Lonchura striata: one gene and its partner. The protein of the gene in region 1 purifies or fractionates together with the protein of each later gene. This does not show direct contact. Links are inferred from orthologs where the notes say so. Each region holds a gene or a part of one and is shown in the gene's direction. Other genes may lie near its edges.

Region 1 (6,996 bases):
GGCTACTGGACTAAATTGTCTGCAGTGGTCCTTTCTAACCTCAGCTATTCTGCAGACACAAGACAGAAACAACATGCACTTCATACAAACCTGGTCTCTTACATGTTTCCCTGGAACAATCCAAAAATTGCATTTCCATGAGAAATTACAATCTTATTAGATCTGTTGTATTTTCTCTGACAGAGATGCCAACAAAAGAAACCAAACACTTGCTCAGAGAAGGCACTGACATATCCTGTGCTTCTACAACTCTCCTGTTGCAACTTTTTTTTAAAGCACTAGCACATCAGCTAAGCCAAAACTGCTTGCCAACTAACAGCCCAGAATATTTTCAAAAGTGATCATTCCTGCTTTTGGGTCTTGCATCTTCCACTTTTGGGATCTTCACATATACAGCTTGCTATCACTTTAATAATTATTCATACTTTAAAAATATGGATGAATTATCCAGCTTCCTGTCATCACTTGTTTATTATTTTCAGAAAAGAACTCTGATAACAATGTTTGCATTCATTCATTTTCAAATTGCCAGCTTTCATCTTACATGCTCTCATCTGAGACTAGCAGAATTCCCCATCAGTAGGATTAAAGAAAAAAAAAATCCACAGCAGTTTGCAAGAAGAATAGCTGACAACCTTCTTGTCCTTGAGAAGGGACTGGAGGGTGTAGGGGGGAATATTCAAGAATTATTTTGTACACTTAAAGAGCTTCTCTAGATTCAGCTGAAGAACTGTATTTACTTCCCCTGAGCCAAACTGCTGAAGAAGGGCTCAAGTATTTCCACTCCAGTAGCAACCACAATTTAGCTCTGGAGCAGGGATTTCCCTCTGCAGTTTGAAGCACCCTTTCACATGGAAAGCACTCTGTGGAACACACTGTAAATGTAGAACTATTACACAACTATTATCTAGTGATGCTGGCATGAGGAAGCTAGAGGGAAGAAACAGGAAGGATATAAATACAAGTCTGCAATCTTTTCTATTTTACTCACATAAGGGAAAATCACCAGAGCTCCAAGAGCTACATCTGAGCTACTGTGCTGGTGAATAAAAAAAAAACCAAAACCCAACAGTTATACACATTCATTTTACACAGCATTTGAATAAACTGGAAATAAAAATTCAGATTCTCAGTTTCACAGAAACTTGTAGGCACTTGACTCCTAAAGATCAAAATGAGATTTCACATCAACTTACTTTAGTAGACTTTAGCCTTACTGTTCATTTCTCTGTGCTGCTTTTCCACCTTCACCAGTAAAATGTTTTGATATATGACTCACAGCTGAGAACATTTCAGAGGACACATTCAAAAGATTTGAGCAGACACTGTTCTGGTAGGTTTTTTTAAACAATGAAAAATGTTACCAAAGATTACAGGAACAACCCAGAAGTTGAATGGCTGCTGGGAAGAGTCAATAAACATCACCTTTGCTTAGAAATTGAGAGTTTCAGTGCAAGGGTGTCTCACCCTCTTACTATTTAGCTTGCTAACTTTACAAACAACATTCCATTCTGTTATGTATATTTTTGTTGAGGTATTTTAGGGGAAAAGAATGCCTGTGAAAATAAAAGAATTAGTCCAAAATATTCTCTACCTTTTAAATAGCTGGCACCTTGACAATTCATCTTAAGTCATAAGCACCACAACAAAAAACTCACTGATCCTCACTGCCAGTAATTTTTCAGGAATGTAGCAATCAAATCTGTGGTAACAACTCTAATACACCTAAAATGCAGTCTTAAAACGATGTTCTTAGCATTAAATGCCTTCACATTGTTCTGGCTATGGGAAGTGCCAGAGAGCTCTTTACAGCTATTTTAAAATTTAAGCCTGATGCTGTCAGGTTCAAAGTACTTCTGGGCGAAAGAATGGAGCCTTCACATGTAAAAGGAGAATCAACACTTTGTCCTTCTCCTTCTCAGACCCGAGCAGAACGGAGCTGGTGGAGGAGGACATGCACAAGAAGAACATGGCCAGAGAACCTGCAGAACCAACACTGTAAAGAGCACACAATGCTCAGCGTGTGAAGGACAGCATGATCACAGCACAACAAAGTTGACTTTGCACAAACATCTTCTACAGATGGCAAAATGTGGATACGCTGACACGAGAGATGTCTAAAGAAGCATTCTGCAATAGAGATCCTTCTCCCATGTCCTTTCCACAGCTGCTGCTATTTATGTGGTAAACCTCCTGTATACACAACTCGAGACTTCAAACAAAGGTTCCCGTTGATTCCTATGAGCATCATCCTTGCAGTTCAACAGTTCTCGGAGGCACTGAGCGTTAAGGTCATCGCCGAGTCCTTCACCTGCCTCACAACACCTGGTTAAAGCCCAAGACCACCTATGCAGCCCTGGAAGACCTCCATCCTGCAGGCAGACACAGTATGTCAAGGAACAGCTTTTCCCAAACTGTATTTTGGCTTATTCGGCTCCATAGCCCTCCAGTACGTCTGAACCTTTTTATATTTTAAGCTCATCTCCATCTTCGGGGGACCAAGCAGCCAGGGAACCATATTACACTGCCACCTCCACTCTCTCCCCTTTAACACGTCTCCTAACAACGCCACGTAGATCCAGATAATCACCTGGGATGAGCACGTCAGGCAGTCCTCGGCGTTCCTGAGGGAGTGCATTCCACTCACACGCCCCAAACCCTCTCCCCCAGCCCGGCTCCGTCCCAGCCCGCTCCCCCCTCACACCGCCCCGCGAGCACAAGGACCTCACTTCTCTCCCAGCTCCTTTCCAGCTCCTTCTGTGTCCCCAGCGTGGCCCGGGGGCCTCCCCCGTCCCCTCAGGGCACGGAGACACCAGGGAAGAGCCGCATATTCCAGGCACGTCCCTCTCCCTCCGCGGAGGGGGATGGGAACAGCAGCAGCGGAGCGGCACCAGCCGAGACGTCAAGCGGAGGAAAAACGAGGACAGGCGGGAACTACGCGATGGGAATCGCTCCCAACCTCCATCCCGCAGCCCCGGGGCTCCCGAGGCGGGGAGAACCGGGGGTAGAAGGGGCTCCCCCTCAGCGCTGCTCGGGCGGGACGCTGAGGGCGTTAACGCGCTCCCCCCGCGCCGGGGGGCGGCCCGGCACCCACCTTGAGAGTGGGGTACTCCTGCACCTTCAGAGTCATTGAGAGCTGAGCGGCTGATTCCTGCACCGCCATCTTGGATCGGGCACCGGCCTCCCCCGCCCTCCCTGCTCTCCCTCCCGCCCTCCTTCCCAGCGCGTCCCGGCGGGAGCTACCTACGGCGCGCGCGGCATACCGGGAAACGGCGCGCGCCCCGCCCCGGCCCTCATGGACGCGGGCCGAACCAACGCCGCGCTCTGCCCCCCCCCGCCACCGCCGCGGCTTGGTACGCTCCGCGGGGGCGGAGACGGAGGGAGAGTGACGGCGCGCCGGCCAATGAGCGGCTCGCTCCCTCACGTTCCCCCGCCGGGAGTGTCGGCACCGCCCCAGGGCTCGGAGAGCCGCGCCTGAATGGGCAGCGGGGAGGGAATGGGCGGGGCCGCGCCGAGGCGCGGACAAATCAAAGGGGACTACGGCAGCGGGATAGGCGGGATTTGGGGCGTTATGGACACCCAGCCACTCAGTGGAGGCAGAGAGCCGTTTCCCATGGCCCAATCAGAACATGCTCTGGGACTCAGTGGGCGGGGCCTAAAAGTAAATTTTGCTGGTGACTTCAAACGGCCGTTTTAACACCCCCGAGGTGTCCGGGAAGGGGAGGGGCGGGGCGCGGGGCGGGACGCGCTGTGATGGACAGCGCTTCCAGCCAATGCTGTCGCTTCTCGAGTTGACGGGCAGGCTGCTGAACCAATGACCGGTGCGTCTGGGCGGGCGGGCGGAGCGGCGGGCGGCGTGTGGCTGTGTGTACATCGGGAGGGGCGGGGCCGCCCCCGTGAGTTCCGCGGGGCGGAGGGAGCGAGTGGGAGCCAGTGAGGCGGAGACGGCGGGAAGAGGTTTAAATAGCGGAGACGGCGGCAGCCCCCTGCCCTCGGCTCCCCGGGCCGGCGCCGAGTTTCCCCGGTGAGCGGAGGCGTGGGGCGGGCGCAGCTCCCGCCGCAGCCGGGCCGGTCCCGCCCGCCCCGCGGGGGACGGGGTGGGGAGGGGGGCGGCTCCGCTCGGCCGCCGGGGTCTCCGGTGGTCCCTTCGCGCTCCCGCAGCCGCGCCGGGGAGCGGAGCTCGGGCGCCACAGGTGCGGGGTTCGGGCGGCTCCGGCCGGTCCGGGTGTGCGCGGGCTCCCGGCGGGCTGTGGATCTCCATGGCTGCGCTCGGAGGCTCTGCGTGACCCGCTGACCTCTGGCCGGCCCCTGTAAGGTGACAAGCACCGCTGTAAGCGAGCAGTAAGTCCTCTGCCGGACGTACGTGAGTGTTTCCATTAAAAAGAAAAACAAAAAACCAAACAGGGACGCGGTCCTGCAGAGTTTCTACTTGTGTGTGCGAGGGAATAAAGACGCTCTTGGAGTGTCAGTCCTAATGTAAAGCTGCTTTCTGGGTAAGGCGTAGAGGGCAGTGTCTCGGTGTTCGCTCCTCGCTGGTGCTCCTCAGTGGTGACACGGGCACTGGGACAGAACCTTCATCACCGCGAGCGTGCAGCAGAGGGGAAATGTGCCCGCAGCACCTGGGCGTGCAGTAAAATACTAACTTCATTCTGCTGCTGCCGATGTCAAAAGTTAAGTTTCTTGATGCACTGGCAGCAAATGTGCTTCAAGCAGTGTGCTGCTTGAGTTTGAAGCTTTAAAGAGACCCTAAAACCTGTATCTATCAATAACCGTGATGATTTTTTTTTCTCTCTAATCTTTGTGGCTATATTTTTACTGGGCTGCAGAAGACTGAGGGAAAATAAACACCAATACTTCCAGGAGGAGCGAACACATTTAACTTCCATGGTTTGAAAGAGCAAGTATATTTCTGAGAATATTTGGTGGCATTATTTCTGATGTGCATAGACCTCATTGCACTGAAAATATCTGTCCAGGAATGGGGGTAAATAAAAGGGAATGTGGGAAGTCATGTAGTTGAGTGTTAGATTCTCTTTGCCTCCCAATTCTTTTTACTGATACTTACTCACAGCTGCCCTAGCATTCAGCCTCGTGCTGACCATAACCAGCAAATGTATGCCTAAACATAATTTACCAAGCCCATACCAGTTGCAAAGCCTTTGTCTGAGAAGTGTGTTAGTAAAACTTTTGTGCTAGTTGCACCTGGGATTAGCGTTCGTGTCTAGACATGATCTTGGGACCAGATCCTGCAAGAGGATTTTTATAAGGGGGATTTTGACTCCATTAAGGCTCTGTGCAGGGAATGGTTCATCCTGGGCTGCTTGGGTGGAGGATCGAAAACTTTGCTCAATTGTTGCTGTATTTACAAACATAATTATGTGGCATTGTAAAATATTCCTGTTCTTCCTGTCTGTCTTAAATATCCTGTAAGCTAATATTTAGAAGGAAATTTGCTCTTGAGTATTCTGTGTGATTATGGTACTGAACAGCTTGAACCTGTCATACCTTGACTCTGTGATGGTTATAGGGATTGAAGAAGTGTGACTTGCCATGAAGTTGATCAAGTCATGTACATATTTGTCCAAGACACTTATTTGCAACAAGTTTTGTTTATATATAATCTCTTAATAGTCCTGATAGTTCTGATAATACAGTAGCTAGTTTAATGTAGCACAGATACTCTGTGGATACAGGTTATGTGCTCAGACTGTCTTTAAACTGGAGGGTTATTGGTGAGGCTTTCTCAGACGTTAGTAGCCAGAGCTAAAGGGGTTGCTTGATGGAACAGATGGCCAAGCAACCATCATGTCAGAGGAAACAGCATGCATTCGTGTATTCTTAGTTTAACACAAGAGGGAGCATGTCTAATCTTTAACCTTTAAATATTGCAACTTCAGGGAGAAAGCTTGAAGTGTTGAGTGTCAACTAATTTACGTTCAAGGCTCCATGTGCAAATATTGATACAACCTATGCATATTTCTGGCATGTTTTCAGCTGTAGTCTGCAGCTGTTGATTTATATTGTAAATGTTGGCATGATAAATGTGGGGATGAGAACTAAGCTAATGATCTTATGAAGTTGTTAAATTCTGTAGTTTCCTGCTAAATTAAACAAAATATTTATGGCTATTGTTATTCTTGGGTATGGTCATTAATGTACTATGGTTGTACTTTTTTTCCTGAATATTAGGCTAATATATGTCCTCTGCTTAACCTACCATACAAACTTACAAAGCTGAGTCTTAATCTAATTAAATTTAGTTTAATTGCCTATATGCCTTTGCTTTTAGAGTTCTTATAAATCCTACCACTTTATTCTTCAGTAGGAAGTATGAAGTTGGATCTACTAAGACGTTTGGTACTGTATCTTCTTTAGTTTTTCCTTGTCCACTGGTGTCATAAAAGGTAGATGAAAAATCAGCTTCCATTTTGTATTTCTTGGTTGTCCAGTTGAATCATAATGTGTTAATGTTTGTCCTCATTCAGTGTCTTGTTAATGTGAATTAGCAATTAGTTTAACTTAAGCAGTGTGCAGAGAATACTCCAAACCTTTAGGAGAACTTCACTCATTTTTTTTCCAATAGCCTTCAGCTTTGCTCCAGATTAATGATCAGAGAAAAACATTAAACACTGCATGCAAATGATGTATCTTTCAGGAACACAAACATTCTGTGTTATTTGGTGGAGCAGAGCAGAAACCTCAGTGCTCTGCTTTCATACGCTGAAGAAAACTGCTGTGAATTGAGATTTTACCACACTTGCTTCTCTTTCCTCTCTGGGGCCATTATAACCCCAGTGCCAGGAGGCAGAAGTGGGTGTGTGTCACCATCATTTCTTGTATTTGCAGACCAGACTGGCCTAAGGCACGAATATGAAGGCCTGTGCTGGTTCAGGTGGGAAGGAGCACAGGTTGTCCCACTGTTCAGTGGAGTTCTCCTCCTCCGAGCAGGTGGGTATGGTGGTATTCTCCATGATAATGAATTCTCCATGTTTCTTG
Region 2 (6,930 bases), on another chromosome or scaffold:
CGCCTCTCACTGTGACAGGGCAAGCCCAAATATTTTGGGAAGAGTCCTTGTTATGTTACGACAGGGGTTGGTAGCACTGATGCTGGGGACAGGTTTTGCTTTAATACAGAGCTGATTATGCTTCATTATTCAGGGAACAGCGTGAACTTGGGCAGGCAGGCTGCTGGGAGAAGGAGGATTGCACTTGGGCACTTCATATTTGTAGGATGTGCTGAAGGTCTTCCAAGAGATGCTGTCTCTTAGAAGAGGTCAGTATAGGAGGTCCTGAAAGATGTTTTTCTGTGGGTGAGAAAGTAGAAGAAATAAAGCTTTTTTTTCCAAATAATATAAATGTTTAATGAAGCCCCTACGTGTAGACAAATACCTGGGGAAGAGCTTGTATTAAAATACCTTTTAAATCATATTTTCTATCCCTCAAGGTGGTGTTTGCTTCCTACAGTGTACATCTTCCCTCTTTGATTGGTTTCCTCTCCTGAAGTCAAGCTGCATCTTGGCAGTGCTTTGTGCATCTCCAGTGCTGCACGAGTGTCCAGCACGCGAAGTTTCATCAGTCATGGACTTTTAGCAAGATTGGATGTGTCCTGGAGTTTGCCAATTCACGTACGGCACGTAATTATATTCAGGAAGCAATAGGAATTAAATGACATTAATTCCCATGAATATTCATTTAAGAATCTCGACCAAATTCAGGCAGATTAATAGTCCAGCGAAAATACAATGGCTATTCATTGCCCCCACAGGAAAAGGAAATATGTATTGGCTGGCAGCTCAGGCCAAATGGAAATGTGCTATAGAAAAGTTATCTCTGGGTGGCTTCTGGTACAGTGGTGGCTGGAGGGACACCTCCAGGAGCAGAGAGGATTACTGTGGGTATGGATGTGGGGAGCCTTTCCCATCCACTGGGAACCCAGAGGAGTCTGGGGTGAATCCAAGACTCGTGTCTCTGCACTGCCTGTGCAAATCCAAACCAGCTCTGACTGCAGAGGAGCTTCTCTGGACTCACAACAGAGCAAAATGTCATTTGTTCTGTGCCTGACTCCCTCTGCCCTGTGCGTGGAGCCAGGCTGCAGCCTGCTCTGCCTGCATCGTGATGCTGCAGGGCAGCACAGCTTCTTCTTTCCCTTACACACAGCACCAAGCTGGCTGTGCTGCTGGCTGCCTGCTCTGCCACAGCCAGCCCAGCACCAGCCCTCGGGGTGGCTGTGGGGCAGCCCTGTCCTGCCAGGCACCTCCTGGCACATGGGAGCTCAGTTCTGTTCCAGCTTGTCCTCCCAGCACAGGCCAGGACATGGTTTCTACTGTGGCCAGGGAAACTGGGAGAGAGTATAATAGCAAAAGCAGATGAAGGATGCAAATACATTTGAAACGGAGGGATCACAATTTGGTATGCTGGAAACCCCCCTCCCCAACAACAACATTTTATTTAATTCCATTTCATTTAAAAAATATCTAGGTTTGGTTATAGCCCTCATTTGGAAGAACTTTTCATTTTGTCAGACAAGCCAACTTGAGACCTTAGCTGTGTCACATTATCTCTTTGTGGGACTTCCCCGGTTGGAGAACAGATCCACCTTCCACTAAAGTTGGTGCAAGTGCTGCTAGAGCATGGGGTTTAGTCTCTAAGCTGATGTTTACACCTTTTAAAATTCCCCCTCATAGGCAAGTTGACGTTTCCTACCCTTGAAGTTCTCTGAGCTAAAGAAAGGTCCAGTTATTTTACAGTGCTTGTGTACCATGTGGGCAGAGGTGCATTTTCTACTTTTTTGAAGGTTATTTTTTGCCAGACTGATCTGACTTGCCCCGACTACACCAAAAACAAGGAAATGTGGAGAGCAGCTATCACCATCTTGCCAAGAAAGAGTTTTGCCTCTAGTTGCAGTATGAGCATACTCACAGGGCTGCTTCTTCTTGTGCTTATTTGAAACAAAAGTCAGATAATCATAAAACCAGGCTGTAAATCCAATGTACATTTCTCTTTACGTCCGCCAACTTTTTGGGGCAGTACATGGTGTGTATCTCATCTTTTCATGTCTGATGTAAAAGGTAAAATAACAGCTGAGTACCCACATGGGCTTTGCACCTACGCAGGAGTGCCAAGTGGGCCAGGAACCCGCCGTGCAGCCTGGTGATGTGCTCTGCAAAGCCTCATAAACCAGTGACTAAGGCAGAAAGGACTCCAAGGCCTGGCTCCTGGGACATTGGAGGTGTGGCATTACAGTAGCTTGGAAAACATTCTGACTTTATAACAAGTAACACCTATAATTACAGAGGCGTCATCACCTTCATTTTTTTTTTTTTTTTTTTTAGCTAACAAGCTGTAGTTGTAGCCTGTATACATCCCTGCCAAAATCTGCGAAGTATTTGCTCTTGGGATGGTTCTACCGGTGGTGGGAATATCAAGCATCTTTCTCCAGGCACTTGTAAAACAATACAGCAGTAAACAATTCAAGCACAATTAGCAGCTACATAGGCAGAAGGGGAGGGAGAAGTCCCACCGCTGGTACTGTCTGTGGAATTAATCATGTTTTACAGAGTTGATATACTGGTTTGGATGTGTGAAGTTAAAAACAAGAGATGAAGAAGTAGCCAATAAGTGTTTATTCGAAGCTGAAATTTAAAACAAGTATTGTTTCATAGCGGTAGAGAGTGTTTAAAAAATGCAATTTTAACAGGTTTTGCTCCATTTTCTTCCTACTGAAGAAACAGATGAACTAAAAAATATAACAAGATGATGTTCGCTTTTAAAGCTGGTGGTCCCGCCAGGTCACACAAACCCCGGTGTCTCCTGCGGTACCGGAGCTGCAGAAGCGGGATGCTGAAATCTCCGCTCCCGGCTCTCGCCCGTTCCCGGCCCCGAGCGCTCCCCGGTCTGAGCGCACCGCTCCGGCAGCGGCGCGAGCATCACCTCCGCAAATATTTATTTGCAGCGATTTTCCGCTCTTAATTATTTAAAATATAATGAATTACGCATAAGTACCTCGCTATTAGGGTAATTCCAGGTCTTAATTGCTGCCGGAGCGGCTCCCGCCGTTCCGCCGGGAGGTGGCGCCGCGGGCCCGGCGCTGCTGCCGGAGCCGCCGGGGCCGGGCGGGGGACCGGGACCGGCACCGGGACTCGGGGAGCGGCTGGGCGCAGCGCGGGGCTCCCGCGGGCGCGGCTCGCCCCGCGGTAGCGCTCCGGACGGCGTGTGAAACCATCGCCCCCGGCCCCGGGTCCGTCCTGCGGGCAACCACACGAGTTCGCCGAAAAAGCAGGGAGGGAAGAAAGCCGGGCGGGTCAAAGAAAGAGTTTTTTTTCCCCCGAACGAGTCGGTCGCTCGGTAACTTGGCGGCCGCCCGCTGACTCCCGCCCGCAGCGCCGGGCAGGACGCGCTCCATCCCCGCGGGGCGCCCGACGAGCGACCCCCGTCCCGCCGGCGCCGCGCTGCTGCCGGCAGCGGGCCGGGGTCCCGGGCAGGGCAAGGGGCTGCCCGGCGGGGCCGCTCCCCTCGCCTGCTCCGGCCGCCGTCAAGCGAGCCCCCGCGCCGCCGGAGGTTCCAAATCCATCGGTGCTGTTAAAACTCGCGGCGAACGAGTGCCGAAGCCGCAGGGCTGGGGCAGCCGGGTGGTCCCGGCTCTGCCCCCGCGGGCGCTGCCACCCCTCTCCTCGGTAGCCCCGACGGCGCGGCCGGAGCGCTGCCGCTCCGCGCACCCACCGAGATGCGGACCCACTGCCGCGCAGCGGGACCCAGCCCGGTCCCCGGGACGGTCAGTCCCGCCGAGCGGCCGGTGCGCGCCGCTGCGCACCCGCGCAGTGTGTCTGAGCGGTGTTTGCGCCCACAGCAGCGGGCGCTGCGGGGCGAACGCAGGCAGCGCCCGCTTCGCCGCTCCGCGCAGGTAAGGCGGCTCCGCGGGTACCTGCGGAGGGCACTCCGGGGTCCCCCGCATGCCTCAGCTCCGCTGGCCTGATGCCCCGCTGCCTCCCGAGCGGCCGCGGAAAAGTTGGTAGGGGTGCGCAGCGCTGCGCGCCCGCCGACGGGGCGGCCCCGGCCGGGCGCTGAGCTGTCCCTCGGGGTGCGGAGGGGCGCGCAGGGATGCGCAGCGCTGCGCACCGCGCTCCACCGCCACTTTCGCTTCCCCGTGGGGCCGCCCCGCCTCCCCCGGCCCGGCCCCCCCCCGCCTCCCCGGCCGTCCTCCGCGGAGCTCCGCGCCTGCGGGGCTCTCGCCCTTCACCCCCTGCGCGCTTCACCCCCCGCTTCTATTATTTTATTTTTTTTTTATTATTATTTTTCCCTTGCGCCGAGCCTTGTTTACCCAGCAGGTGGATGTGACGTCAGAGACTGACAACAGCAAAAAATAACAACATCTCCCTCCGCGGGGGTGTCGTGGGCCGCCCCCGGCCCGCCCGCGCGGGGCTGCGCGGGGCGGGGAGGGGGCGCGGGGCGGCGCGGGGCGGGGGCGCGGCGGGGCGGCGTGCGGGGCCCGCGGGCGCGGCGCCGGGCGGAGGGCTCTATTGTTATTTACCGAGCGGCGGAGCACGCCGCCGCGCCGCCCGGGCTCGGCGTGCCGGAGGGACGGGAGGGAGGGACGGGACGGAGGCAGCCCCGCGCCGCTCCGCGCCGCCGCCCGCCCGCGCCGCGGCCGCGCCGTGCTGGGCAGCGGCAGGGCCGAGTCCTGCGGGTGAGTCCGGCGCCCCCCGACACTTTCCCCGCTCCTCCGGGGCTGTTGCACTTTTCCCCCCGCCGGCCCCACGTGCCCGGCCGCCCCTCCCCGACCGCCGCCGCGGTACCGGGGGGGTGGGGGGATGTGGGGCGGCGGTGCGCGGATGCGGAGCCCCCTCCCCGGGCTGCGGGGCCGCCCGCACCCCCTCCCCGCCCACTTTGGAAACTTCCCCCCCGCCCCGCGCTGCGCGCACTCCCCGCCGTGGTGGGATGCGGCGCGTCCCGCCCCCCTCCCATCCCTGTTCGTGCTTTCCGCGTGTTTTCCGCCGGGTCTCTCCGCGCCGCCGCGCAAGGGGCGCGTACGCCCCAACTTCGGCGCTCGGAGCAAGAAGTTGCGGTGGGGCCGCGCCCCCCCTCCCCCCCGTGCTGTGCCCGGCTGCCCGTTCCCCCCTTCCCGGGCACCTGTTGCGGCTTCACGCCCGCGCAGCCCCTTCCGCAGACGCGGAGCCCCGCGCCGCGCATCCGCCCCCACCGCTGGTCCCTGGGACGCGTTGCGCCCATCCCCCCTCCCCTCTATTTCTTCTTCTTCTTTTTTTTTTTTTCTTTTTTTTTTTTTTTTTTGAAACGAAGTGTTTGAATAAACACCCGCGCCTCCTCAGCTCAGCCCGGCGCAACTTCTCACTGCGCGGGTGCGGACCGCGCATCCTTCACGCGCGTGTGTGAGCGCACGTCCCCCTCCCGCGCAGCCCCGCGGTGCGGAGCCTCGGGACGGAGCCGCGGCTCGCTGCGCGCCGCGGAGCCGCCGCCGCTGCCCGGTAAGTAGGGCCGCCCCGCGCACCTGCCGGCCCGCGCTGCGCGGCCGCGTCCCCGGGCAGCGGAGGGGTGCGCGCTGCAGGCGGCGGCCGAGCGGCGTGTCCGCGCCTCTCTCCTCCCCACCCCCGCCCCGCCGGTTTGTGGGTTTCTTTCTTTCCTGGAAAAAAAAAAAAAAGGCAACAAAAAAACCCAAAACAACAAAAACCCCAAACCAAGCCATCGAGCGGGGCGCGGACAGCTGCGCGGGCAGGGCTCCGCGGGGCGCCGCGCAGCCCCCTCCGCTCCGCCCGGCAACTATTAATGACCGGGCGGCCCCGGCGCGGACAGCATCGCCGGGCGGGCTGCGAGCGCCGCGCTTTCAGCGACTCTTCTGCTGCCACTTCGCTGTAATGATTTTAATTGCGTGTTTTTGCTTTGAGTGAACCAAGCCGAGCGCGATTACTTTTTTTTTGTTTTTCCTTTTCCCCCGTCCTTTTCCCTCTGAGCCTGGCAGCGGCGGCAGCGCGCAGCCCTCCCGTCCCTACCCGAGGCATCTGCCGCCTGCGAGCGCTCTCTGAGCCGCTTCTGTAGAGAAGCTAGAGCTCAACTTCCGTGCTCAGAAGTTTAAGGTTTCATTTTTAGTAACTGTTCTCGGAGTGAGTAATGGATGTGTACTGCTCGTAGCGTGGCGTCTGCACCATATAGCCTGCTGATTTCTGGGGTGCTGGATGGTTCTAAATACTAAAACAGTTCTCTAAACTGTGTTTCCTTTCCATACAGTTTTTCTAAACTTGGATTTTACTTGATTTGACGAAATGTTGGTGTCACTAGTGACAGATGCTTAATTAGACAAAGTTGCAAGCATGTCATCAAAGAAACTTTTTTACCTTTGCTGTTAATCCACGGCTTACTTTTAATATTTTGGAAAACAGGCATTTTGCTCGGTTTAGGATTATTTTTGCAGTTTTTATTACTGCTGAACAGCTCTTACGTTTTATAAGTTTGAGAGAGCCTGAAATAACTCAAGTTCCCAGAGAAGCGAGTGTGGGCAAGGAGGTACCGTGCATCTCGGCAGCTACATTTGGGGGAAGACAGGGAAATCGGGGCTACTCGTTTCAGCTTCTCTCCTCTGAAGCTTTTCCCCTGCACATTTTGTTTGAACTATCTCCCAACCATATTGAATGGACCAGGGCACTGGGGGAGGAAGCTCTCCACTAGTTACCATTCAAAAGGTGTCGGCTAAAATCTCATTGCAAAAAGGTATTGTAGCTTTAACATCTTGCATTGGCAGCATTCTTCCCCCTTAGTCTTTGGATTAGTCATTGTATGAGAGACAGGAAAAAAAAATCACTTTTTTTTTTTTTTTCTGGAAAAAGTAAAGTAAACAGCCTCCAACAAGTGAACCTTGACAACCCAGATTAAGGAAGGCAGGAGAGATCAAACAAAGCTGCTGCTGGGCTGTTGTCAGGAGCTGCCTCACTGAAAGCTCTGGACTATTC

The links. The genes of interacting proteins can lie anywhere in the genome.
Region 2: the proteins of CTBP1 (region 1) and FOXP1 purify together in Homo sapiens (affinity purification with western blotting; 3 studies listed by BioGRID and IntAct, with this or other methods). This does not show direct contact. The link is inferred for Lonchura striata from reciprocal best matches to the Homo sapiens genes CTBP1 and FOXP1.

The regions. Positions count from the first base shown.
Region 1 is NC_134606.1:7,055,729-7,062,724, reverse strand, and holds the start of CTBP1 (C-terminal-binding protein 1), read left to right. Parts: upstream 1-3,900; 5' UTR 3,901-4,024; intron 4,025-6,996. Other genes in the region: E3 ubiquitin-protein transferase MAEA, read right to left, coding at 3,095-3,163. UniProt on the Homo sapiens protein: Corepressor targeting diverse transcription regulators such as GLIS2 or BCL6. Has dehydrogenase activity. Involved in controlling the equilibrium between tubular and stacked structures in the Golgi complex.
Region 2 is NC_134614.1:20,739,296-20,746,225, reverse strand, and holds the start of FOXP1 (forkhead box protein P1), read left to right. Parts: upstream 1-3,857; 5' UTR 3,858-3,875; intron 3,876-4,588; exon of another isoform or gene 4,589-4,658; intron 4,659-5,259; exon of another isoform or gene 5,260-5,454; intron 5,455-5,819; exon of another isoform or gene 5,820-5,838; intron 5,839-6,930. UniProt on the Homo sapiens protein: Transcriptional repressor. Can act with CTBP1 to synergistically repress transcription but CTPBP1 is not essential. Plays an important role in the specification and differentiation of lung epithelium.